3 linked regions of the Schizosaccharomyces pombe genome follow. Changing the gene in region 1 together with any one later gene gives a genetic interaction. Each region holds a gene or a part of one and is shown on either strand. Other genes may lie near its edges.

What was found.
Region 2: mutations in SPOM_SPBPB2B2.19C (region 1) and erv46 together harm fitness more than expected from each alone (negative genetic interaction), as found in Schizosaccharomyces pombe (one large-scale study listed by BioGRID).
Region 3: mutations in SPOM_SPBPB2B2.19C (region 1) and snu66 together harm fitness more than expected from each alone (negative genetic interaction), as found in Schizosaccharomyces pombe (one large-scale study listed by BioGRID).

What each region holds. Positions count from the first base shown.
Region 1 is NC_003423.3:4,500,366-4,511,130, reverse strand, and holds SPOM_SPBPB2B2.19C (transmembrane helix domain-containing protein), read left to right. Parts: upstream 1-6,186; coding exon 6,187-7,221; 3' UTR 7,222-7,466; downstream 7,467-10,765. Other genes in the region: SPOM_SPBCPT2R1.02 (uncharacterized protein), read right to left, coding at 2,322-2,681; SPOM_SPBCPT2R1.01C (uncharacterized protein), read left to right, coding at 3,658-4,147, 4,206-4,525; SPOM_SPBPB2B2.18 (uncharacterized protein), read right to left, coding at 7,467-7,604, 7,845-8,063, 8,274-8,344, 8,406-8,439; ftm7 (transmembrane helix domain-containing protein), read left to right, coding at 8,735-9,175.
Region 2 is NC_003424.3:211,031-222,266, forward strand, and holds erv46 (COPII-coated vesicle-associated protein Erv46), read right to left. Parts: upstream 2,494-11,236; 5' UTR 2,177-2,493; coding exon 1,004-2,176; 3' UTR 684-1,003; downstream 1-683. Other genes in the region: SPOM_SPAC24B11.07C (oxidoreductase), read right to left, coding at 1-1; pyruvate transmembrane transporter Mpc2, read left to right, coding at 5,453-5,809; cfh1 (chitin synthase regulatory factor-like Chr3), read right to left, coding at 7,627-10,425; serine/threonine protein kinase (NDR family) Sid2, read right to left, coding at 10,999-11,236.
Region 3 is NC_003424.3:1,553,132-1,558,791, forward strand, and holds snu66 (U4/U5/U6 small nuclear ribonucleoprotein complex subunit Snu66), read left to right. Parts: upstream 1-1,867; 5' UTR 1,868-2,002; coding exon 2,003-3,952; 3' UTR 3,953-4,015; coding exon of another isoform or gene 4,016-4,279; 3' UTR 4,280-4,324; coding exon of another isoform or gene 4,325-4,458; 3' UTR 4,459-4,496; coding exon of another isoform or gene 4,497-4,712; 3' UTR 4,713-4,766; downstream 4,767-5,660. Other genes in the region: protein Dbs2, read right to left, coding at 1-82; putative TIM23 translocase complex-associated motor subunit Pam17, read right to left, coding at 870-941, 1,004-1,035, 1,083-1,161, 1,250-1,660; geranylgeranyltransferase type 2 beta subunit Ptb1, read right to left, coding at 4,016-4,279, 4,325-4,458, 4,497-4,712, 4,767-4,883, 4,939-5,089, 5,137-5,190; GPI-mannosyltransferase II complex subunit Pga1, read left to right, coding at 5,539-5,660. UniProt on the Schizosaccharomyces pombe protein: Required for efficient splicing of pre-mRNA.

The sequences.
Region 1 (10,765 bases):
AGAAGCATCTACCAGTTGTGCATATGTCAAAATAGCGTTATAATTTTATAACATCACACAAATATATTAATCGAATAGTCCTAAGTCACACCGTAGTTGACAAAGCGGCGTTGCTAGTTCCATAAGTAATATTTGTACGAGCATATACGATTAATTGATTCGTAAAATATGATCTTTTTATGCTAATACTATTATTCATTACTGTCTACCATATTTTGTAGTTCATCATTATTTTATTTATACAATTACTAGCTTTGATTTTTGAATTGTTATTTGGTTATTGATAGCAATTGATATTAAACGCTTATTCTTTAATATTATTGCACATACATCGTATTTACTGAATATGCCGGATAAAAACAACAGACTTGTGTCCCCGTGATCTAATAAGTTTAGTTATGTGCATCTTAAATACCGGCACAATTATGATGTGGAAAGCAGTAAAAAACATTTCCATATCAGTATTCGTACTTATTGCTGAAGAAGACATATAATTCTGATTTATTTCTGCAGATACATGTATTCATGAAACCTAATGTAAAATAACAATCATCTCCGGCGCAATCGTCAATGCACTAAGAAGAATTCATAATCTATGTCGCTAGTCCCACGCTTGCTTAGTTCAACAGATCGCATCAAGTTCTGCTTGACAAAGTGATTGTATGGTATTCCGTTAAGTAAATTGCAAGCAGGTAAAGATGTCAATCCGGAAAAAGATCGAAAACTAACATGACCAGTAATATTGTTACGTCGTTCACAATCAATAAGTGCTCTAAATTTTACTTCAATGAGATTCCTAATTGTCAAAGGCATCAATCAATACGGTAGTATTGCGTACTGTTTTGGAATAATTCATAAGTGACAAATGTAGTTCTAATCTCAAAACAATAGAGAAGTATGAAGAAAGGTTGAATTGCAGTATTTGATTCCTAGTATCGTACTGAGTTGGAAGTTGTTGGTACGAGTAGTACTAGCAATAAATCACAGTGATATAATACGTTGTAGAAGTAGAGCATTACAATTCTACAGATAATATGAGAGTATAGTATACGAAATAATCAAATTGTAAATATATGTGATGATAAAATATTGAGTTCTACTGATCTTTTCTAATAGTCGCTTTCAATGGGTATTTTTGAAATAGACATGTAGCCTTCCGCAATTATTGGCGAAGAAATCTTGGTATTTTAGGTATGGCATATGGTGATGCACAACGAGTATATCAAGGTGTAGTGTAGTGTAGTGTAGTAATATTGCTGACGTTTACTATTGTTAGCTGATACTAATAAAACAACATTACTGATAATATAGTGTGCGTGTTATTACTTTAGTATTATCGTTTTGAATGTTTGTCAACTTTCAATGATGTAGGAACAGAAAAGCGGTAGCTAAAAATAATATCGATAGTGTTCAGTTTCCAATGGAAACTTTTAAGCTGTACTTAGATAATGAAATGATATAAGAGCAAACAGATGTATAGCTTTTTTTTTTAGGTTTTTTGAAATAAATTAATGAAGAAATATTATTGAAATTTAAACATAAATATACTAGCTACTAATAAAAAACCGACAAAATATATTGTTTCAAAGAGCAATAGTTAAACATGTAATCATTTTCAAGCTTAAAAATGGCGACATATAACCATGTTTATCGAATATGTATGTAATGTATGTAACGGTTTGCTTCTTTCAATTTTTTTTGTTATTTTTATGACTGAATGTCAAATACTTTATAAAGAAATTGTTAATCATGATAGATTCAGTCCACCAGTAGTACACAAAGTCAGCTGCCGCTTCAGTTGGAAGGAATAACAATCAATATGTCGATTCTGTGAATCTTTCCTTAGTAGGATGACTGAATGCTTTACCGGAATTAAAGGGACTGAACATTTTTTAACTGCTGTATTAAATACTACTTTTACATATCGCTGTCAATCTTGCAACAGTTACGCTATACTATTAAGACAATGAAGTTAATGCTTCTCTTAATCCTTATAAGTTTTCATTTTTCTTCATTTATCGTAGGTATTACCCTCTATGCTACATTTCCAATTTAAACTTTACACAATTAACTTGGGTTGTTTTTAATTGTTTTAAAACTTCAAGTGTTGATCTTTATTATGGACAATGGGATGCAATATTAACACCCAGATCCTCTATCACTAACACATACTCTACGCATTCCAGCAGAACCAGGTATAACGCCTGATACTTCAGGGTGGGTGTTTGCTCTTGATTGAGAACAATCATCGATAATAAGCCAAAACATCACATGCTAGATCTCAGTAAGACACGCTTTTACTACCAAAGGTTTGTATAACATTACCCCCCCCAATCACCTCTATAGTCGGCTGCTAACGTGGCTCCACCTCGGGCTCCAACAGCATTGGCTCCAGTGTCACAGTCATATGTGCTTGCCATATTTGTACTATGACATTGTGTGGTGTATCGGTCTCGCTTCTTCAGCAGTGGTAATCCATTAAGCACATCATCTGTCAAGTTGATTATCCATGTAGCATCATCCGCAGATTGAGTTACCAAAGTTCTGAGTAGAACTATCCTGGAAATCTCTCCGTCATTATAAAGTTCATGGAGATCAATCAATAACTCGTGAGTAACGTTATTAGTTGAATTGCTTATAAGCGGATTATCGATATATATATGGTTCATTAATGCAGTCATCTTGCTAGCATTATATAATTCATTTACGATATATCTGAATTCATAGTGCTGTGTAGTGTTATCTGGAGGAAATTGGGCTACCCAGATTACAGCTGGAGCGTCTTCGAGGTCAGTTGGAAAGCAACTGATTAGTGTAACCAACGATAGATAGCAACGTAACTAATAATAGCAATCTCATCGGTAAAATATTAAAAAGAGGATGAAGATAGTTCCAAATTTCTATGATATTGACGTTCTCTTGATCGCTATATATTACTAAGCCTCAGAGCATACAAACACCTACTTACTGCGGAACGAAAATAAGGGTTATAGGATAATCCTTTGTATGATCCCCTGGATTAAGCATAATCTCCTATACAATGTATGTAGGTCAACAATACTACTAAATACTACTACGTTGAATAACACCATACGTCAAGTGTTCTATATTTGCTCTATTAACTTTCCACTCTGAGTTATAGAGATAGACATATTACTAATTATGCAGGATATTTAGAAAAATTTTTAAATGCTATAAATTGAGAAAAACTGAAAAATAAAGAACGAGGTTCAGCAATAAGCTACAGCTACTTTAGTGATTAGGTAACAATTTAATTCATATATAAAAATATCAATAGCAGATGCTACTTGTATTACTGTGTACTGTAATATACTAGGTCACAAGGAAAACACATCGTACTTAAACGTATCGTTAAACAGATACCAAACTGCGTAGCTGTTAAATTGTGAAAAGAAAAAAGTTGTAAGGATTACGAGATGCCAACATCATAATGCTTTTCCTAAATAAATGAGACACCTCAGAACGTAAAACATTCACCATTTTGGTTTTTTTTTTTTAATTTTCTCGTTTATGGCTTAAAATATTTTAGTATATTTTCTTTTTTATTTTCCATAAACCACTCTTTTTAATTTTACTTTGGGGAAAAATACTAGTGAATCAGAAGTCATCAAATTACAGTGCTGTCGTTCTATTCCAATGTCAAATCCAGAAAGCTTGAAAAAACAGGTTGAACCTCCTGGTTACAATGAGTTATTTATGGTGGAAGATGTTTGTAATGTGGACCTAGAGCAGGGACTTGATTTGTGTAAGCCTGAAAAGGTAAACAAACAATCTCAACGATCTCGACAATCCCGACAATCCCTCTTTACCAACACCATTAAGCCTCAAAAAGACAAGATGAATATTAAAACAAATAAAATAAAAGAGTTTTTAAATGACCTTTTTACTGAATTTTCTAAATTCCACAATAGCTATTATCCTGATGGAAGGATTTCTACCCGCAGTAATTTTCGTTGGCCCTTGCTTATTATTTGGTCTATTATCATTGTATTCGCAGTAGACAAAAAGTTCGAAGTCCAAAAGTTTCTTTCAATTTGGATAAATGAAAATCGGTTCTACAGTGAAATTTGGGTGCCTATTGCTATTTACGTTTGTTTGCTTGTTTTAATGTTACTTAGTTTAATTTGTATGTTTCCTTTATAGTGATGCTTTTTTTCTTTTTTTTTGCTAATAATTTAAAATAGTCTTTGCAGAGTTTGCGGTACTTGCTTTACGGGTGACCGGTGTGATTATAGCAGTCTTGGGTATGATTATAGCAGTCTTGGGAATGATTATAGCAGCCCTGGGTGCAACTATAACTGGCCTTTTGTATTTTGGTCATTGGGCTCTTTACAAACTTGTAATATTGTCTTTAGGCTTTAAAATTGTGACACCAGGAGACGTCTGTGTTTCTAACACTCTTCCTACACATAACGGAGAAACAGCATTACATTCAGAAACAACAGTTGGTTCTGATATTGAACAAATAGAACTACAAAATATGCCTACTCCTGTGAAAAAATAATTTTCTTTATCGTTTTCATGATCATATAGAATATAACTATTCTTAACAATGTTCGAATTGACTGTCCTGTCCAAATCATGCACATAAGGTGCGTTCGTTATGAATTTCAATTATGGAACCAAACCAAATTATGGTTTTAATTAAGATATTATCACTTAATGTAACTAATGTTTTTATCTTTCGTTTCATAATTATTCAAATACTAAAAATGACTTTTTTATATATTTTTTTTTTAAAAGCTTAAAATATATTATATTAAATAAAAAATTTCGAATTGAACCAATTTGGACTCCCACTTGTGTTTCAAAAACTCCATTTCATCTACTTTAACCCAAAATTCAGCGTCATATTCACTACAGGAAAGGAGTTTTATTCATTATCTGTTAGTAGAAACAATTTGGTTTCAATTTTTTATGACGAAAATGCTTCGAGTTAATTTAAGGCTTTGTTTGAAATATAATTCGTTTAGTGATTATTCGCTTAGTGATTATAGATATCGTTCTAATTTTCAAATTACAAAATACTAAACAGCTTTATTTGAATAAACAGTAAAAGATTCTAAATCTTTGGACTACTTTTAAATGGTTGACAGACCAGAAAAATTTGAGAAAGAAAGTTTTATAACAAATCGTCTTATTATCTATCTTGCCTAAAAGGAGTGATCAACCTTGAATGACAGAATTTATTTTAGGTCGATAATGGTTGGACGGTGGTGTGGTGTATGCTTGCTAAGCGAAAATATTGCAGGACATAAGTTAGACGAATTGAATTTTCTACGTTATAATCTGTTCTGGCGCTTGCTCGCAATCGTAAAAACAAACTATTGAAATTAAAAAAAAAAAAAAAAGATTGGTAGTGTACATGCTGAATTTCAATCTATGCTTTAAATTAATAATTGCTAAATTCAAAAAAAAACGAATGCTATCTCTTTATCCACTGGTCATTACCAGTTTTTTTTTTTTTTGCTATATTTTTCTTTTAAAAAGCTTCTGTATTCTCGGGATATTACCAACGGCGTTATTAACTCAATCATCGAATGAAGTACGAGTACTAACGGAATAGAACTAGTCAACGGTGAATGACTTTATCTTTCACGTTCCATACTTAACAGATTTTTTATTATATTCAGTAACTTGTGCTTGTACAATTTAAATCTTGAAGTAAAGGTATGATGCGTGAACAAACCATTTATTTGTGTTCTTTTCCCTCCAATCTTCCCAATGTTTTAACGCTAACGTTATGCAACGTGGAGCACGGTAACTCCAAAACGAAAGATATAAAAGGCTAATCATTCCTGATCTGCTTTTCCCTTGAGCAAGCATCATTTACCAACTTTTTTAAAGATGCGTCTTCATAAAACACTAGCATTGCTGTTATGCAACCTAGTTCTCCATACTCTAGTTAAAGGTGAAGTAGACGCCAAAGCAGTATCTATTACTACATAAAAGGAAAACTCTACCTTGTCAAACCATAATGGACTGCCTAAAGAAGCCAAAAAGCTCACTCTTAAGTGCAGTTGGTTCATTGTGGAGGAATCTAACGGTGCCAGAATACATGCTAATTTTTTTGCACAAAGCTTCGATAAAAGAGAAATTGCTTTGTCTTTTTTTGAAGCAAATGAATGGCAAAATATAATTGGCTGGAATGATCAAGTTGAGGAGATGATTGACTTTGTAAAATCAAGAGACACGGTGATCCAAAAATCTTTTTTTGAGGAATTTAATTCCCAAAACCGAGAGATGGGATCATTTGCATATTCTGGTAACTCGGAATCGGTATGGACGGGCGAAAATATTACAAGTATATGGAAAACTATTTTGATTAATGAAACGGGTTCTTACTGCGTAGCTGCGAGACCAATGACAATGGATGGAGCTGAATTTAATTTAGACCTTATGGGGTATTCGGTTTCAGAAGATCAAATTAATAATGACGAAATTGGCATTTGGAACTATATTTCTGTAGCTGAAATGGGAGGAGTACTATTATTTTTGAGCTATTGGATATGGACTTGTTTACATTTCAGCAAGATTATATTTCCTGCTCAAAAGGTAATCTGCCTTTATATTTTTCTTTTTGCGTTAAATCAGACTCTACAAGAATGCATTGAGGAGTATGTTTTTTCTTCCGAATGTATAAAATACAGACAATTTTATTCGGTGTATGAAATAATTGATTTTCTTCGGACAAATTTTTATCGATTATTTGTGATTTACTGTGCATTGGGTTTCGGCATAACTAGAACTGTTCCTAAATATCTTATGATAAAAGGAATTAGTATTGTCATTGCTTTATGTTCTGTATACTGGATTTCTTTATATAAAGACGTATATGTAGTATCAGAGATTTTTGACATGATCCAGTATGAGGTATCTCCTGCAATTTGGGTGTATTCTATTTGTCATTTATTGAAACAATGCACGTCTGTAACAACTTACGAAAATGCTTCAAAAGCCAGATTTTTTAGAAGAATGCTAAATGCATTTATCTTTATATTCTGTGCATCTCCAATGTTGCATTACCTGTCGAATATTATATTTGGAAACTTTGATTACAGACTGTCGGTGATCATTGGTGATCTTTTCACTTTTATGGAGAAAATTGCTTTTCCATGTTACATAATGTTTCCCACCCATAATGAAGCACTTGCCTACAATCGAAATGTAGCTGAAGAGGCTCAAGAGAAAATGATTTGACAAAAACCATGGTTTACTTGATTCACCTTTAAAGGGGTTACCGGGATTATTTTATTTATTATTTGTTTATCAATGGATTAATATCCAGTTATTTTAATCTCACTTTTTTACACAGAAATTGTGTAGTAAGTTCATTCTTATTTAATATACCACCTATTTATTTTTTACAAATGAATATTTTTTTACTGGAACGTTTTAAATACACATAACCTTTGAGTCGATGTGAAATAATGTTTTGTTCAAACTTAAAAGTTGCGAATCTGACATATAGACAAAAAAAAAATAAAAAGAAAAAACTGGTTACCTTCATAAACATATTTTGCTAATTTATTGAATTTAATTATTTTCAACTTGCTTTCCCATTTTCCCAACAATTTTTTTATCTATAATATATATTTTACAAAATTAATATAGTACATCGCATGGTTTTCTTTAAAACGACATAAACGTATAATAATAAACGGGGATTCAAAGTAATAAATCGAATCCAAATCAACTTTCAAATACATCCATTTCATCTACTTTACCCTTATATTCCCCTTCATATCCCCAACAAAAAACAGGAATTTGCGAAAGTAGTAAATGGTAAAAGTGAATAAATAGAATCAAGGTTAAAAGCTTACTTGTATGCATAAGAAGATAACTCCCTCCTCTTTACTTTTGCTTAAAAACAGATTCTGAGATTCGGGACTAGCATCGGTAATATAAGTTTTTCTTTCATACTGTTGAGTACTAGCATCAGAACCCTTAATGGTAGGAAGATCATCATCATGACTACGCCTTTGTTCAATCGAGTAAACATTTGCTGGTTCGTGCCAGTCACACTGAGAACAACAAAGTACCTATTATTAAAAATGTTAGCAAGCGATCGCTAACAAGTTGAAAAGTAAACACCTCCAACTATTCCATGGAAAGCATGTAACAATGAAGATCAATGAATGGCTATTAGCTTAACAAACTTGTAAACTCAAAACAGACTAACAACGTTTGTCAGGCACTAAGAGCAATAATGGAACAGACTTCATATCAAACGCTTTCTTGAATGTTCTTACCTTATTCGTATAAACCGGAAGAACAGGCACAATGAGAACCGTTACGGTTTTCAACTGACGACATACTCGGACTAAAAACAAAAGAAAGAGCCAATTGCTTTCGAAACTACTGAACTTGTTTATTTCTCGTACCAGTCTTCTTTGAACTAAAAAAAAAAAAAAGCATTAGCAAAATGTGTTGTCAAACGGATAAAAAGAGAACAGGAAGAAGATTGCTGGAAACAATTTTAAAACAGCGAATAAAAAAAAAAGAAAAAATAATAATAATAATAAACAAAATACGAGTCGCTAATTTTTGAAACTAATCGCTTCCAACAACTGTTTCATTATAACTTCACCATTTTAATATTGTCCCCAAACAGCATGATTTAATTCTCTTTCACTAATTTCATACCACACAGGACACGTAAGTAAAACATCCTTATAATCGTCAGTGGATATCCACATATCTCGTAAATGTAATGGCATTGTTAAAAAAAATAAACACTCAAGTGAATAGAATTATGAAGAATTCGAGTCTAGTTCAAAATATTTGTTTTGACAGAGTCCCTCTATTTATACCAAGACTAAGCCTCACAGTGAAATATTGTCTAGCAGTAAAATTGCTGATTTATTTATTATATTGTTGGTACATTTACTCGGAAGTACCATCGGTTTCATCTAAATTCCGATCCTTTACATTTGGATGCGTCGTAGTATATCATAACAAATTTTTTCCTCGTTTCATTAGAACTCACTCCATTAACTCCATTAGAACGTTTTCTAAATTTCAAGTCATTATACTTTTCTCTATTGAGAAAGTCACTAGGTCAGAAAGCAAGAATCATTCTTACTCGAAAACCGATATTAGTGATCTGCACCAGGGCTATAATAATCCACCATCAAGATTCATATCACGATAACAATTCCATAGTATCTTGCTATATACGTGTAATGAGTATTCGATACTGGCTTGATTGCTATTTCTCCTTTGCTTGTAATCGTAAAATTGACTTGAAGATCTAAACCTTCTAATGCAATCATTGGAATTCTGCCTAACCTGATCAAATATGGCTTGATCGCCGTTATGTTAAAAGCAGAAGCTATGCCAATCAGTATGATTGTAACTTACAAAAAAATATAGCACAACGACATACAACATTATGGTACAATAAAGAGGACTTGATATATCAAGAACGAGGTTCAGTTTGTGCTCCGTTTATATTATTGTATTTCTATATATGACATTACTTGATGCAATCGCTTAAATATGTACTTTTGTGTAGTTATACTCGCAAGTACAGTAGCATTTTTAAAGTAGCGGTGATGTTGACGAATGGTTTGTTTCAAATCCATCCATTTCAATTTCAATTGTAAATTTCTCTTTTTCAATTATTAATCAAGTAAGTTGAAGTGTATCAGCACAATAAATTCTGACTATTACTACTCTTAAAATAAAACTCAAGCGAAACTAATTTTTAATAGCAAGTCATATTCTTAGTTTGATATGCTATCCGCTTTGGTTTTGCATTGTTATGACTTTGTATAACCTAATAAGGTGACGAAAAATCAGTTCGTTTATATTTTTGATGAGAAGAATTCACTATTATTACACAGAAAAACATTTACTTCTTATTAGATACCTTCAATATAATATATTTTTTAAATGTAATAGCGACGACACTACCCATAATTTACAATACATTGTATGGTAAACAACTGAGTAGTTGATACACCCGATTTTCATTGAGTCATACACTTTGCGCTTACTATCACTTTATTTGGCTAAATGCATAATTTACAAGCCATTCCAATATTTCGCGCACTTTTCGGACATAGTAATAAAAGCCGAGGTAGTTTCGGCGACTTGCAACATGTTTTTTTATCGTCAGCTCGGAAATAGATTTCCTGACAGAGAAAGAAGGATATAAAAATAAACATGATGGGGCAATAAATAAATATTTCACCATTTTTTATATATCATTAAGAACAATGAAGAAATATATCTCTGAAGTAAAAAATAGTTGGGAAAATATGTATGAAGATCCCGCAACACCATTTGATAATGAGAAACCAGACGAATAGATCATGAATCTTGTACAACTGGGGAAATTACATGAGAATGTATTAGATGCCGGTTGTGAACCAAATAGAAATGCTAGATATTTAGCCAGTCTTGGATATAAAGTCGTGGGTATTGATATTTCCGAAAGGGCTATTTCTAAAGCAATCGATAAAACATCTAGTGAAAAAAGTAATGTCAACTTTAATCAACGCGATTTTTCAAGATTAAATGAATTCAAGGGGCATTTCGACACTGTGATTGACATTGGTTGTTTTCATTCAATTCTAAATAGTGATCATGAGCCATACACAGCTTCGTTAAGTCATATATGTCACTCTGATAGCTCCGTTTTCCTAAGAGCGTTTAGCGAAACAAACAAATCACGTTATAGACGGTGGCAGGGCCATAAAAGGTATTCCCTCGCTTTAAAAAGAAACAATGTCAAAAA
Region 2 (11,236 bases), on another chromosome or scaffold:
TTTCAGTAGCAAATTAAAAATGACTCTTCTTAAAAAAAAATTATATTTACACTTTAAAAAAAAAACTCAATCGTTGGTTTTGGATTTCTTTTTTCGAGTTGAATTCGTTTGTTAAATCTTTAATAAACTCCACGATTCCATGCAGCTCTAATAACGACTATACTAAAACCGTTTTCACACGTAAATCGAAAGCTTTTCTAAAAGTGATTTATCCAAAGCAGCAAATTGTGGTTTGCTATTTTTCGAAACCGTTTCTATAGGATCACACCGTACAAAAGAGCGCTAATTGTAAATGTATGTATTTGGAAAAGGGAAATTGGTTTCCAATGGAAACGATCGGTTTTCCTTGTGGCTTCTAAGACGTATGATTGTCGGTCTCGGGGTTATGCTTATGGTAGAAGAGCGTGTATGGATATGACAACTCATACCATTCCGCTTGGCACGATCTTCCTTGGAGTGCACTAAAAAAAAACTAAAAAAATTTTGATCACTCGTACTACAAATAATACTTATTTTTATTAATACTTTAAGACAATTCAATTCATTTTAATTTCCTTTTTATTTAAAATGCTATAGAATCAAGACAATACTTTAGGTTCGGAAAGCGAATATATCTAATACTATATGTCCTTGTAAAATTGAATACACCAGATAGAAAGATCTTTATCTTTGTATGTTTAATTAGAAAGAAGACGAGTTTAACATTAAAAGAAATGAATTGAGATGTAGGGAAAGAAAGTGCGTGGTTCGTATGCTCTTCAATGTGAATATAGCGAGTGGTTGTTTGCTAAACGAGGCTAAAAGCAATTTGTGATTGATAAGCGAGTCATGAAATATCAAGTGGTATCAATTTGGAATAGTATAGGAAATAGAGTATCTAAAGTTACAAATCAGGCACTTGCCATGGAAACCGATGGTATTTACATTGATCGATAGGACCAAACAGAAGAAAAGAAAAGAACGAAAAACAAAACAAAACAAATTTAGTGCATAAACAATCTGATCAATTTTTCTTTAACTTTTGAACCTCATAATAGCCTCTATCAACAAACGAAGCAAGTGTAACGCAGCCCCCAAGCAAAGCTAAAACATTACTCAAAAATCCACCAAAGGTATTGCCACGTACTTGACGTTCAATAACACGCATAGGACTAATATCAAATTGAAACCATACACCAGGGATTCCGCCATGAAAGTTAACATGGGTAGGGACTTTTTCTTCACGACCGCCACGAATAGAACGTTCATGCTGTGTGACAGCATATTTGTTTGTGTCTATGGGAAGTGTGCTCTTAGACAAAGGCATGAATTGGTAGGAAACGCACTTAATAAAATATTCGTAGCGATAATCGGCAGTGCTTACCTTTTTCACTGTTCCATCTAAAGGATTGGAATAGTGGACAGACGCATCTAAAGGAGGGCCGAAACTAAGATGATGGATGGAGTGACTCATGTCATGCAAATCGAGTTCATTAATGTAGTCACGTGTATCATGAACATGCTGATTTCCGTTTTGAGTAGATCGTCCAGGAGCAATGTGGAAATTACCGGCCATTCGATTGACGGAGAGCTGACCAGCCAAGTTACAACCTTCGACCTTTTGAGCTTCATAAAGCTCCTTAAAGTTTTCATCTTTACACTGTTTAAAGGCATCAACGTCACCAATTCGCCAGTGTGCCTTACCGTACGCATCTCGAACGGCATCACAGGTATTGCAACAACCTGGGGTATCTTCAGGAGCAAAGTCGGCTGCCCCATAACAATCACCACATTCAGCGGCTCCGTCGTCAGAAATAGATTGTTGATTTCCAATATCCAAATCATCAACGCTTATAATTTCGCCCGAAGGGCTCAACCTCGTTTTAGAAACGGTATGGTGGATGTCACGCTGGAATTCACCACTGACATCCAAGACATCGACAGTAAGTATTTGACAAGGGATACGGGGGAAGGTGATGTTAAAATTGATTTCCATTCGATCGCCATGTGAGGGATTGACGATGATTTCATGGACTGCGATGACTCGCCTGTAATTGATCCATTCCATGAGAACAATAAAAATGACAATAAGTCCGGAAACGAGTGTTATAAGACCGCCACTAGCAGTTTTTATGCGAGCATCTTCGACAGTTTTTTGAAAGGCATCAAAACGCCTAAGGGGTGAACGGAATTGCATTTTTTGAAACTATCGGTCGATAGATACGTTTTTGTAACAATAATACAGAGGAAAAAAACGATTATATGGAGAAGCAGTTCTTTGAACCAACTTGAAAATACTTTTTTTGGATTAAAGGATTAGAAGGGCCCACCTCAGTGGTTCCAACTATGCACGGTTATGTTAGAGCTTTGTGAAATGCTGACCACCAAATCTTATATAAAATAATGTGCTTGAACTTGAAAAACGATCATTCCCAGAATGAAATATTTGGAAATTGTCGAAACAACTTGACTAAGGGGGCTTGAGGTAGTCGGGGAAAGTATACGTTGAGGGTCAACCCAAGCGCAGGACTAGAAGTAGGTTAATAGACAGAGGTGCAAAGAGGGATTGAATTAGTTTGACAGGGATTATGATTGTTTATTGAAAAATCAGATATATATGGGTTCAAATGGAATGTATTCTAAGGGAGCCTAAAAGGCGTTTCAGTTTTAACGTGGAGTTTAATGTAAACGCCGAGGAAAAAGTAGATCAATTAACTAAAAAAGAGAAGACAAATAGTAATTTGAAAGGAAAACTCAGTGTTATTAAGTACAACTCAGTGTGATTGAGTAAATATAGTTCAAGTATAAGTGCGTATACGTTCCAGGTATTATTGTCTTTAAACAAAATCTAAGTATTATTGACTAAAAAACAATCCAAGTACTATTTAGCAAGCACAATCCGAACTACCTATTGAGTTTACACAGTTTATTCAATAAGCGCTTATGCGATCTAAGCACTTTCGAATAAGCGCTTGTTGAATAAGCGGAATCCAAGCTTCTCTAATATAAACCTAAACCAAACACTATGGGATAAACGCAACGCTACTACAAATTTTTTTTTTTAGCATGTCTAATACGGATACCATCAATGTATGACTCAATTTCAAGCATCACCGTCGCCAACACTGTTTAACCAAATACCTTGTATACTAGCACCGCTGGTTTCGTTATGATGCGCAACTAACAAGAAAGATGTACAAGGATGCCTTGTAAATGGGTATTTGGGAGACACAGGATCCGGCAACTTGTGCGATTTGATGAGTTTCCCTTGATGTACATCAGTCATTATCCTATGTCTTTTCCCCATTTTTCGCCATCCTAAAAAAAGCTTAATTCATTATTTGGTCAGCAATCGCAGAAAAGACGCTCCAACACACTCGTGCGTATGGCTGTTCTCCATATTGGGCCAACCTTGTTTCGCTGACTTCTCATGGTGCACTATGTATGCCTAAGTAATTCACAACCATTCACAATACGAAGTGTAAGCACAGATCGGGTTTAGGAAAGGGTAATTGTAATCACATGAGTGCATATCCACACAAATGTCAGAGGAACCTCTCGTTACTCCTTTTCCTCCTCATTCTTTGCCTGCAAGGAGAGACCACCTTTTGCTCATTCCCATCATAACCCTTTCGTAAATGTACTAGTTGGAGGTTCCTCCACCTTTTTTATCGACCAACACTCTCTGCCCATTCGGCCATCCGATATCTACTCGACCGTCGCTTCCAATCTATCTATCCTCATGTACTGCACTTGGCGATCCAGTGGTATGGAATTTCGGAGCTTGATTGAACTTATGGCAATCATCATCAAATCATCAACAGAGAGCACCGAATATTTTTATCTAGGATAACCTGAAGTGGCCCCCAAAGAACCCAAACCCCCACAACCTTCACCTTCCTAAGTAGAGTCCTTCTTAGGTGTACATCCCAATAGAGGTTTTGCAAGGCAAGACACACAGCGCTTGTAAGGTTGGTTATGCTTGTATGTTTTGTTATACTGCACTTGCGCTTTTATTTCCACCGATGCTTTTGTAAACAATTGGACATCATAAGCAAAAGAGTTTTTTCTTTTAAGGGATAAATAATAAATTGAATGAATGGATCCATTCATTCAATTATTTTTTTCCCACTTGCATTTTCGTTGACTAATGGATTCACTGACAATTACTTGCTTGCTAATCAATTTCGGCGATTACACACTGCCTTATTTTCGCATTCCCCCGTCCAGGCGGACTTTACATATTTTACTGAATTTGTGTACAATTGCATTGCTACTGCTGTGTATCTACATTCCGAAGCGATATTGTGACCGTTTCCTTCATCCAAATCTTTTTTTTTTCCTCATATACAACATCAATAAAACGCGGTTTCGTTTTGGTGCTCTAAAACGTTCGTTCCTTCCTTCGCTCTAGTCTGTTGTCACATACTTACATTCCCGATCTACCTCGCGCTTCCTTTCCGGCTCGGTAACGGCAATCAATAGCTTTGGAACGTTGGGTGCTTGTGCCATCGATATCATAGTTAATCAACCTCAAATCAGTGTTTGGTTGCGGTGGTCGTTTAGCGTAGGAAAATTTGTTTTGATCAGTGCAACGATAACATTACGGTAGCGTGATCCAATTTATATACAAGGCAGGCTTTGCGCTCCAATACATACATCCTAGTCATTCATACATAGCGTTTGTTGTTCTGTGTTTATTCTTACTAGTTCTCATTCATAACAGTGAAACCGAAAACACAAGAAAAAGAAAAATATACAAATCCTAGTGTTCCCATTCTTTTTCTTCTCCTTTCTTTACGCCATCCTAATCTTCAAATAAAAGCTAGCTTGCTGCTTTTCTCTATTTTTACCTTATCACATTCTAATTTGCATTCACTATCCTCTACTACGTGCTTTTGCGTGGACGTACGAAAATCTGACTCGTTTGCTCATATCACTCTTTTCCCGAGCTTACATATAAATACACACACACACATTCGTCCCTAGTACGTATACACCAACTTAGCATCGATATTCGTGTGGATTATTTGTTGGCGAAATTTCAAGCTTTCCTCGATTGAAACTAAAATATAAAAAGTAACGGTATACAATAAAGTTGATTTGAGAAACTGTTTTCTAGTTCTTGTGTCTCTTGCTTTTTTTTTTTTTTTCGGTTTTTTCACACTACCATCTTACATATCATTCACATTGTTTCGTCTTACAAAGTAGTGACTATTCTTAAGCTTATTAGCATCCATCATTCCGTTTATCTTTTTTGTTCCCTTTCATATTCCTTTATCTTTTTTTTCCTTCATTTCATTATTGGTTTCTTATCATTCCTCTCATCAACGATAAGATCAGACCTTGCAGGAAAAGTTGCGATTTCTAACCCTACAAAAAGTATTGACTTATTTTTTTTATCTCCTGTGAGACATATTTTTTTTCCTTCTTATTTTTTCCTCCAATTTTTTTTATTTTCTCATATACTCAAATGTTTCGTGCTGGCTTTAAACGCTTTTGGAATCACCCTGCCGGTCCCAAGACTGTTCATTTTTGGGCTCCTGCCATGAAATGGACTTTAGTCCTTTCTGGTATTGGTGATTATGCCCGTTCCCCAGAATACCTTTCTATTCGTCAATATGCCGCCTTGTGTGCCACTGGTGCTATTTGGACTCGGTGGTCTCTGATCGTTCGTCCTAAAAATTACTTTAATGCTACTGTCAACTTTTTCTTGGCCATCGTTGGTGCCGTTCAAGTTTCAAGGATTCTTGTATATCAACGACAACAAAAACGCATCACCGCTCAAAGTGAGCAACGTACCGAGTTGGCCCGAAGCCTTGCTGCATAAAAAAAATTTCAGACAAAACTTACTTTTGTTTCCCCTAAAAAATAAAAAACATGGAAAGGATGAGTGGATGGATATTGGGGAAACAAAATGATCCCTCTTCTCTTTCTTTCACCTTTGTGCCGAGAAAAATAAATAAGGAATAACAGTCCTCCTAATCATCTGAAAAGACATTCTGTTTGGTTTGATTTATTGCATACGTTACTAGCGCAGTCTTCAACAATTTTTCGTATAGATTAAAATTTAAGTGACTTTTTCTATACTTTGTAAAGTTTCCTTTTTCGACAACTTAACCCCTATTTGTCAAACCTTACTTTCTTTTGTTGGTTTGATTGTTATTAAAAAATTCCCAAAAGAGTCGACGACAAGTAAAATTCCTTTTGTCTTCTTGTTTTCACATTGCTTTGTTTGTCCGTCATTTTGTTGAATTGACTTTTTTTTTGCTTTTCTTTTTTAAAGCAGTTATTTATTTGCGGGGATTTTAAAAAAATATCGTTTTTTTCTCTTTCAAATGGAGTTCATGTATTATCGGTTTTGGGGTATTTGTCAGGTCGCTATTTCTTGGGAACATACTATCAGATTATAAGCAGAAGTGATATATTTATGAAGGAAATAGTTTCTGCTAATTTATAGGCTTTTCTCCCATTCTTTTCCGTTGACCTATTTATGTACTGCATATCGCAACCCGGGCTGTCTGGTTAAATGATTTTGTATATTACAAAGCATTTCCTGCCCCTCCCTACGAGTGCACTTTCGTTTCTGTCTTAAGTATAACATACTCGGTGTTTCATATTTTATTTGAAATGCCTTGAAAAAATTGTAAAGGTTTGGAAATAAGATCCTTATGTTGATTTTATTTGGTTATTTTGCTTTATAAAATATGCGGTTGGGTGAATGCTCGACATTAACCTTTAATGAATTGAAAAGGGAATGTTTTTATAACTAAATTGGTGAAATTTTAAGTTTCGGATTGTGATTATTTCAACCGCTGGATTGGGTTTTGTGTCTGTGGTACTTGTTCTTTCATGTCGTGTTGAAAAGTTTTACTACATGTTATGTTTTATTTGAAATGAACTTTTAATAATTAATTCTATTCTTATAAAATACTCTTTAGGTCAGGATTTTTTATTTTTTTTACTGTCATACGTCTGGTTGATAGGCGAAAGTGTCTTCCGTTCCAACTTCACTTTTTAGTAATAGCTTATTTCTGTACAATAACGGTTTTTGCTTATTTATTTTTTTTTTAATATTCAGTTTGCTTCAATCCAAATGTGCATCGTGGATTTATACTGAAAGCATTAATAAAGTAACTACGTAATAAGTATTTGTTTACACAACCTTTCAGCATTTGTATGAATGCTACCTACTACTTATTATTCTGTGGATATGGAGATTCTACACGACTATTGTTGTTGTTTATGCCGTAAATAATTAACACTTATGAAATTTGAATTTTTGTATATTTCCGTGCCATTTACCTAAGTATATAATAATCACGAAAATGTATACAGAATAGAAAATTTTTGTAAAAATATGATTTAACGGAAGAAAACTATAAGCAAAACATGCGACAAACAAAAGAAAGAGAGTTTAATCAAAGAATGACATACCAAAATCAAAAGTGGTGGTGGTGATAAATAAAAACAAAGAGAAGCAAGAAAAAAAAAACAGTAACCGTGCTAACAAAATCATATAAGCTCTATGCAACGCCAAAGTATTCTGATAGCATGCTGTTAATATACAAACTATATGAAAACATTCGGAAAAACAACAAGGACTAACCAGACATTAGCCAACCGTATTAGTAGAAAAAAATGCATCTACATTACGACACACTGCTCTTGCTGCTTTTTTTTAGGTGCCTTTGAATGTGTTTGCTTACTAGATAAGGCTTGTTCTTCAAGGCGCTTTTTGGCCTTAGGGAATCCTTGCTTTGCTGCACGAATGTACCAATTATGAGCAGAGGATGGATCAGCAGCAACACCAATGCCTTGTTCCATCATAAAGCCAACAGCATACTGAGCTTTAGCCAAACCTTTGCAAGCCGCTTTATGCGCCCAAAGTAAAGCTTCTTCTCCATTCTTAGGCAAAATACCCTCTGAACCCGTTAAATACCAACCGGAAAGTCCTAGTTCTGCCTCGCCATAGTCTTGTTCGGCAGCACGCGTGTACCAAAAAATACTGCGTCGAGGTTCTGCTAAACACCCTAATAAACCGTGTTCATAGCACTCCCCAAGTTTACACTGGGCGGCAGCGTAGCCATAGACAGCTGATTGTTTGTAAAGTTCAAACTTTCTTTCAGGGGTTGCAGATACTCCGTAACGATCCGGTTGCTCATAAATCTTTGCAAGTTCATACATAGCTCTAACTGATTCGGGCCCCTTAGACTTACATGCACGTTCGAGCCATTGCACACCGAGAGATATATTGCGTTTTTGCCCTAACAAACCATTTAAGTAAATCAGAGCGATACGAAACATAGCTTCGACTACATCCATTTCAGCTGCCTTTTTATAGATGGCAACGCACTTACTAGTGTCCGGCTTAACCCCGGTACCAGTTTGAAGACAAACAGCAACTCTGTAATTACTCAAAGGATGTCCTTTTTTAGCTGCAAGGCTGTACAACTCAAATGCTTTTCCCAAATCGCGTCTAAATCCTAATACCCCCTGACTGTGAAATTGTCCTATTAAAAACAGAGCTTCGGGTACAGTATTCTGGGTTTTGCTAGGATAAGCATTCTTTTTTAAAAGTTCAACAGCTCTGGTTCGATAAACATTGATTCGAGTATTATAACTAGCCTGGTCGGGAGCTAAGCTCGGCTTGTTTTCTAAAGTTTCTAATGCATTCAAATAAACTTTTGCCAACTCAACTTCGTCATCAGGTGTGATTTGAGATTTTTGGCGAAGACGCTGTTCTTCTTGCATAGCGTCTCCGTGCGTCACAATTTTTGGTGACGGAATCATCAACTTATCATCAGGATGACAAGGAATCGCATCCTTCGTCTTTTCTTTTGCTTCTGCACCCACTTCAAAAATAGCGGGTGAAGAAGCATTACTGTTAGACATCATAGATATATTCCTTTCAAACTTGGAATTAGCAACCTTGGATGATACATTAGCAACCGATGTATTTTTGTGATTACCAATAGACTTATTACTTTGCTGTGGAATAGGGGAAAACGAAGGTGTCACAGCTAAGTTATGTGAAATCGGTGTGCTATCAGCACGCATTATCGGGGAAGAAACAGAAGGGAGAGGACGAATGTCAGAAACTAACCCATGGGTTGTGTGTACCGGAGGAATTGGCGATAAAGGACTTGTTTGACCGTGTATAGAAGTAGGCATTGGTTTAATTGCCTTAGGACGTGCAAGGTTTGTAGGATATGAAGGTAAATTATTAACAGTTGGGTTTGTGCGATTATTATCATAACCTTCGGGAGAGTTATTATTCGAGTTCCTCGAAACATTTCTACGATCAAATGTAGGAGCAGGAACCTCAACTGGAGAACGAGCTGGTAGCATTACCATTTGAGAATGTGGATAACGAGGTGGTTGTTGAAGTGTAAGCAAATCATCATTTCGAGGATTTTTCAAAGTTTCGGATGATTTTAAGTCATTAGAAACTGAAGGAAGCGAACGTTCATCGCTTTCTAACCCGAATGAATCTGTATTCGAGTCGGTTGATGAAAAGTGACTTTTTGAAGGGAGGTGTCCAGAGTTTTCATAAACTGGTCCCAAATGACGATGAGCAGGTTCTGCATCTGACGAAGCATTAGAAACTGTATTTGTGATGGAGTCACTTTCTGCTCCATCTTCTTCCTCCAAAGTTTCTATTCGAGAGTTACTCTTAAGCTGATTGTCTTCAAGTACAGTATCGTCATCCTTGTAATAGTTATCTAAGAAGTCATCAAACCCACCGTATGGTATGTAACTCATACGACGCTGTACACGACTTATAGAATTAACACGTGGAGGTGCCATATATTTTCTATGAGGATCCGGTTGTCCAATCTCATCCTTTCCATCATCTAAATTGGTCATTGGCGTTGGTCGCGGAATAGAAACCAAAAAATCTTCTTTCTGCTCATGATTTATTTGTATTGGGGCATCTTGCCGATCCAACTTTAAACTAGGTGAAGGCAAAATAGGAGAAGCCTGTCTCAAATTAGTGTTCAGCTTTAACCCACGGTTAACTACACGTTTGCTTGTAGGAGCAGGTGCAGCTGGAATTTTATACTGTGGCTGTGGCTCCGGCTTGACCGGTATGGTTGCACGCGGCAATTTGTCTTTGAAGGTATCTTCACTAACAACAGGCCGGGATATTTTTTTCTTGGAGAATTTCAATGCTGAAGGTGGAGTACCCATTGTAGCGCTCATTATACTAGCCCTGTTCGCGTCAATCCTTGAAGACAGGTCCAAAACATTCGTATACACTGGTTCATGGCTCAATGTCGGATATCTCGATGTAGGACGAAATTGAAGAGTAGGGGAGGATGAAGAAGCTGTGTTACCGCTTTTTAAAAAAGCTGGGGTACCCTCTGTTCTTTTTCCATTATTCGTTGCGAATACCAACTTTTCCTTCTCATACTTCCTCCGAGAGCTATGTGAATCTTTCATTAACAGATTAATTTACGAGTGAAATAAAGAGCAAAAGGTAGACGCTTTAGGAGGAAAGCAGTAAGAAACGAGGATAATGAGGTATCGCAGTTTGATGAATGTTACAGCTCTTCTGCTGTTGCCAACAAAACGAATATCTTACAGCTCACTAAACAACAAATAATACACGAAAACAAAAATTTTCCAAAATAGTAAAAATGGTTCAAGATATTAAATTGCAGATAGTGTCTATTTCCCTATCAAGTAAATGATTTACATAATTTATCTGGTAATTGCAAGTTCTTCTATATAAATGGCGAAAGCTGAATATTGACGAATAAAATAGTGGAAGATAAATAAAAATATAATATAATATAATGAAAAAGGATACTTCCAAATAAACATCATAAAATTAAAGTGATAACTTTCGCAAATTGTAATGTAAATGCCGTTCGAAAGTGAAATGCAATAGTAAAAGACAGTACTGTAAATGTCAAAACATCAAAAGCGAAGCTCAGTATCTTCGAAAATAGTTAATAACAGTAGATGTCTTATAAAAATACCATGAACAAGGGTCATTAAATTTCCCTTTGATTATAATAGAGTCCCGAAAGAAGGAGCAGAGAGGGGACTAGATAATGCGCTACTAGAGCTAGTAGGATGACTATTTTTTTGATGCCTAAAAGTGAAGCCGATAAAAGCATTGCGTTTAGGCTTATTAAATGTGTTAACCATATTAGCAATTGCAGCTTGTTTCTCATGAACTTCCTTATATTTAGACATATCATTTTCATTAGTGAAATCATCAAAATATCCTGCGTCAATCTCAGAA
Region 3 (5,660 bases), on another chromosome or scaffold:
AAACTTCGAGACGTTCTTCATCAAGTGCCGATTCCAATGATCCTGCAGATTTTCCACCACCAGAGTAAAGAGCCGAAGTCATCCTTTAACAAATAATAAATAATTCAAGTTAGTTCGCTTTAACTAACTCAAATGTATGAATTGCCCTCACTAGTTTGTTTACTTCCGTTAGGTGGTAGATACAAGGTTGCCTCGTTTTCAACCTACGAATCCTACAAATAGCGCGCAGCGAAACAACATTTGATCTCCTTCGCTAATTTATTACATCAAAACTATATTAATGTTTACACATAAAGGTTCTTGAATTTTGGAGGAGTAATCAAGTTAAAACTGATACTGTAAACTATTAATTATGTTTTCAAAGGTTTAGCTATATTCTTTTTATTTGATCAGTTTCAGTCTTGTAATTTATAAATTGAACCAATGCATTTTTTAATTGTTATTAAAATTGTGTACTGGCATGTCATGCATTACAAACAAAAATGTTATATATTTATAATCTTCTAATATCTGCTTCTAATGGTTTTACCATGTCAGTTGTACAACAATCATAGAACAGACGGCAAAAGCTTGTTGCAAAAGATAAAATTCAATAGCAGGAGTGACATGTACAACAAATTATGTAAGAAATTGTATGCACGGTAAATTATAATTAAGATAATCATTACTAGAATTTCTCTACACATGGACAAAAACACTTGCTTGAGAAAAGTCTGTACTATAAGTTGAGACTATACAGATTTCAATAGATGAACTTCTTTTCACAAATACTGATACGGCAATGCTTCTGTATCCTTTTAGTTATCGTGTTAAGAAAAGAACCTCATCCACAATTCTATATGACAAGCTATCACTTCAACACTTCTAATTTAACGATTGCTTGTACGCCAAAATGCCCGTTGTATGTAAGCCTTCTGATCCCTCAACCAACGTCGATAGTCCTTTGCATAAAAGTTAGTAATCAGTGTACAAAGTAAATGAGTAGATAACACATATCACATACAGAAAGGGAGTAAATTTTCTCACCGTAATAATCTAATTAAGAGTTAGACATCAATCATGACGCAGCCTTCACAGCATACCTGGGATAGGATTAGAATAGCTTTCCATTTGAGGTGTAACCCTGTTTTTAACCAAGTGACGGTAAAATTCTTGTTCTCTCTAAAAAATTAAATATATTAGAATACTTTCAGAAAACATAGTCCGTAGATGCTAACATAACCCCTATTATCTAAGGGAATGAACGTACCGCTGCAATTTGTCTCGCTTGACTTTTATGAAGCAGTGTCCATATTTTTCTACCTATACTAGGGCCCAAAAGCCATCCAAGCCCTCCGGATGCAATAGTTCCAATAACATATAGAGTAAATAGATCAAGACCCATAATAGTCATGGTAGGGTCAACAGTACGCGTAAGAAAATAGGCGGATCCTAATCCTAGTCCGGTAAGTGCAGTAGGAATAGAAGTTAAGGTTTCAAAAATCCTTCTGCTTTTTCTTAATTTCAGGAATGTGGGCCAATTTAAATCTTGAGGTTTCTTCTGTTTTATAGACTCAGTGGAATAAGTTTTTACATTATAACAAGTTTTCCATAAAGTTAAAAATATTTTGGGACTTTGTAATCTTTTTACAACTAGACCAGGCCGTATAATAGGTATCATAACGAATCCTTGCTTGTTGGAAAATGTATACTTCATATACGTATCGCCTCAATTGCTCTTCTCTTTTTAACGTATTTTGTTTATTATTCCTTAGCAAGCGCGGACGCATACTAGGAAACGCAACTTTTTTTGAAAGTACGCTAAAATAGCTTAGTGAGATATAAATGAGAGTTTAAGTAAATTATTTGAAACAATATTACGGTTCGTGTATTTCGCCATTCTCCTATTTTATTCATATCCTTGAGTCAGTTGCAAGTTTAGTGTATTTTTTTATTAAAAATCCATATTATTATTTATTTATCAGCATTTGAAAGTCTGTCACTTGCTGTTGGATTTAGTATAATGTCTGGGAATTCAGGCGCCTCTGAATCGATTTCTATTGAGGAGACCAATAGAATTAGAATTTCGCTAGGCCTCAAACCCTTAGATATTTCAGAAGAAAAACCTCAGAAAGAACTTTCAGATGCTTCAGTCAAGTCTTCGTATGTCGATCAAGAACAACAGGCCTATGAAAATTGGAAGAAACAAGAGCAGGAGGAAATAAATAGGAAGAAAGAAGAAGAACTGAAAAGCAAATTTGAAAAATTACGGCAAAAGAATGAACGAAGACGCAGAACGCAAGGAAAAACACTCGCTGAAACATTGGCAGAAGAGGATGATCAAATCGATGCTAACGATACTCGAGCGTGGATACTCAAAATGCGTAATTCCTCATTGAATAAAAATGGCAATGGATTGAATTTTGAAGCGAAGAATGACGCCCCCAGAAGATCCACTCTACATTCGCAAAATGCTGGTCCCAATGTGAATAGCTCATTAGAAGGAATGAAAATAGCACACGGTTTTCAAGATTTAAACAAGAACGATGGTCTAGTCCTTACATTGAAAGATGCTGATATATTAGACGAAGATAATCATGATCTATTAGAAAATGTTGAAATGGTCCAGCGGAAGACTAAAAACGAAAGGAAGGAAGATAACCCCTACAAACCGTATGAAGATGAGAATGATTTTCTTCAACAGTCGGAAGCAGATCAACCGTCTGAAGATACTTTTACGACCATTGGTCCACAAAATAGTCTCACTGTTAATTCTACTATAGAAAAACATAAATCTGATAATAAAAAAACTTTTGGGACTCTTGTCTCTTTCGTTGAACCAACTATCACTGGCAGCGAACAATCAGATTATCGACAAATAAAGATTAAGAAGTCAAAAAAGAAAAAGTCAAAGTCTGATCGGAGAAAGCGTCTAGTAGAACTTGATGCAGAAAATGAAAATGAAAATGACCCATCTGATTTCGTGCTACCGAATGGTCAGAGTAACAGTGATCTGTCAGTTGAGCAAGATTCGGCTATTTTCAAAGAACAAAAGAAAATGAAGATTCAAAAGCGTATGCGCGAATTAGAAACACAGTCGTTTGCTGATGATGATGATTTGCAACAGTCAATTGCAATGCAGAGGAGGCTAGCTCAAAAAAGAGCGAAAATACTTAAGCCAGAAGATGTAGCTGAGCAATTGCAGAATGCCGAAGAAGTCACAGATATGACGGACTCGGACACGGCTTCCGGTTTAATATTTGATGATACGCGTGCTTTTGTTAATAGCATAAAGGAAACTGAAAATCGAGAAGCTCTTGGTTCCATAAATGAACAAGCATTTGAAGATTCCAAAGATTTGAACGATACCAATAGTATTACTGGAAGTTCTCCAACTGAAGAAAGTAATGCTTTAGTGGAAGACACCTCGGTTGATATTTCTGCAACTCTCGAAGAAGCCAATACGCAGCAGGAGAATGCAGAAGATGAGCCACTTGTCTCTGACAATGTTGGTGCAGTTCTAAGCCTTCTCCGGAATAAAGGCGTAATTAAAGTGTCGGATGAAGCGAAAGAGAAAATACAAAAAGAAGAAGAGTACAATAAATGGTTTGCCAGAAAACAGCAAGCCAGAGTTGAACTGGAGGAGCAACGTAGAAAGAAAAAAGAACAAGATCGTCTCAGCGGGAAATTTGAAAAAATGACTCAGAAGGAACGTGAACAGTATGCAAAAAAAGAAAATGAAAGATGGGATAAAAAAATTGCGGAGATAGAGCTTGAACAATTTCATGATTATAAACCTCAGGTGGACATAAAGTATGTTGACGAGTTTGGTGTGGAACTTGGTCCCAAAGAAGCATACAAATATTTGTTGTCTCATCAATTTCATGGAAAAGGTTCAGGTAAAGCTAAAACAGAAAAGCGTTTGCGTCGTATCGTTGAAAAGGAACGAGAAGAACGCAAGCCAATTTTCTGAAAGTACATATTTTATGTTTTTATTTTTTTAATTTATGGTTATGTGGTAGTAATAATGCATCATTTATAATTTCATTTTTTGAGTGACTTCTAAAGGCAGACAAAAACGAGGGTCAACGGGTTCTATGTTTGGAAACTGTAATAGTGATAATCCTGCAAGAGAAAAACATGTGTGATAAACGTCTGTGGCATCCTCTTTTCGGTCTGCAAACCCTCCGCTGTCTGCATCTTGTGTACCTAGAAGAAAATCAATAAGCTGATTACGGTCTATCCAATCTAATTTTCCAATAATTGCTAACGGTGAGAGATCCCACCAACCGTAACAGGACTAGAACTATTAGTAAACATGCTAGACAAAGAGCAATCTTCGTACATCAGGTAACTTTTCAGGGCGACCATTTAATCCACCTCCTTTAACTTGCCGTTCACTAATCCACCAACCCAATAATTCTTCATCAATTAAATCTAACTTGTTGAGAATTTTGAGAGCGGCAACACAGGTAAAAACTATTAGGTCAATAATTGGGTTTTGAAATTAAACATACCCATCGCTCCATGTGACTCAGCTCCAGGACAGAGTCCAAACCCACCATCAAAATTATAGCATTTCATTAACCAATCCACGGCAGTATTTTTATTAAGATAGTCCAATTTACCTAGTATTGCCAGACAATTTATTCCAGAATATAGAAATCTAGCGTCTATCTCTCCCCAGCGGTCTCCTTTCATAGAACCATCTTCGTTCTGTAGGCCAATAATGTCTAATTATTTATAAATTAGTTAAGGATCGCATGTACAAATACAAAGAAACTTACAAGAAGCAACTTTATCTTTGTCAACGACATGCAAAGAGTCCAACATTGCTAAAACTTGTACAGCGTATACTGTATTCGTAATGTGATCATCGTGTCCTGGATAACAAGCAAATCCGCCTAACTCATTGTTAGCAGCCCGTATCAATATTTCAGTATCAGTAATATAACTAACCGCTTTCTGTCAAACAAGACAACAGAAACGATACAATACGTTCTTTGTCAATTTGATCTTTCTTCTTCAATAGCCAGAAGCTCATGCAACTCCAATATATTGCGCTGACGTGTAAATGCTCCTTCAACCAGAAATCCAGCTCATCAGTTCGCTGTTTGTAAGAAAATTGAATTATTAAACTATTTTCTTTTCGCTTACATTTCCAATATCGTGTAAGTAACTTATGTGCTTATCTCTCAGTAAAACTGCCATGTTTTGAGCAATTGTATGAACAGGTAGACGGTTCGTTATGCAATGGTTGAAAACTGAGTGTAATGATCAGTAAGATCTGACAGTTCACGATCCTTCCTCTTTTTGAAATTAAATAACAGCTTTAGATATATAGAATGCTTGTGCTGTAATGTATTACTTCCATTTACGAATGTGGTGGAATAGCACATTAACCAACTAGTTCTTCCTTGACATCCAATCGGTAATGAATTATTGGAATAACCATTCCATCCTTTATATTAAACAGAGATAATAATTAATAAATCCATAAGGTTTCATCTCTGACTAAGAACCAAATACTTGGAATTGCTTTGACCTGTGTTTTTCCGAATGCGAGAGTTCAGGCTTATATTCGTACTTCTTTTCTTCTTGCCCTCATTTGCAATAGCAAATACGGAGATTATTAACGTAGAAACTGGAGATTCTAATAAACTGTTGACCTCGAACTCTGT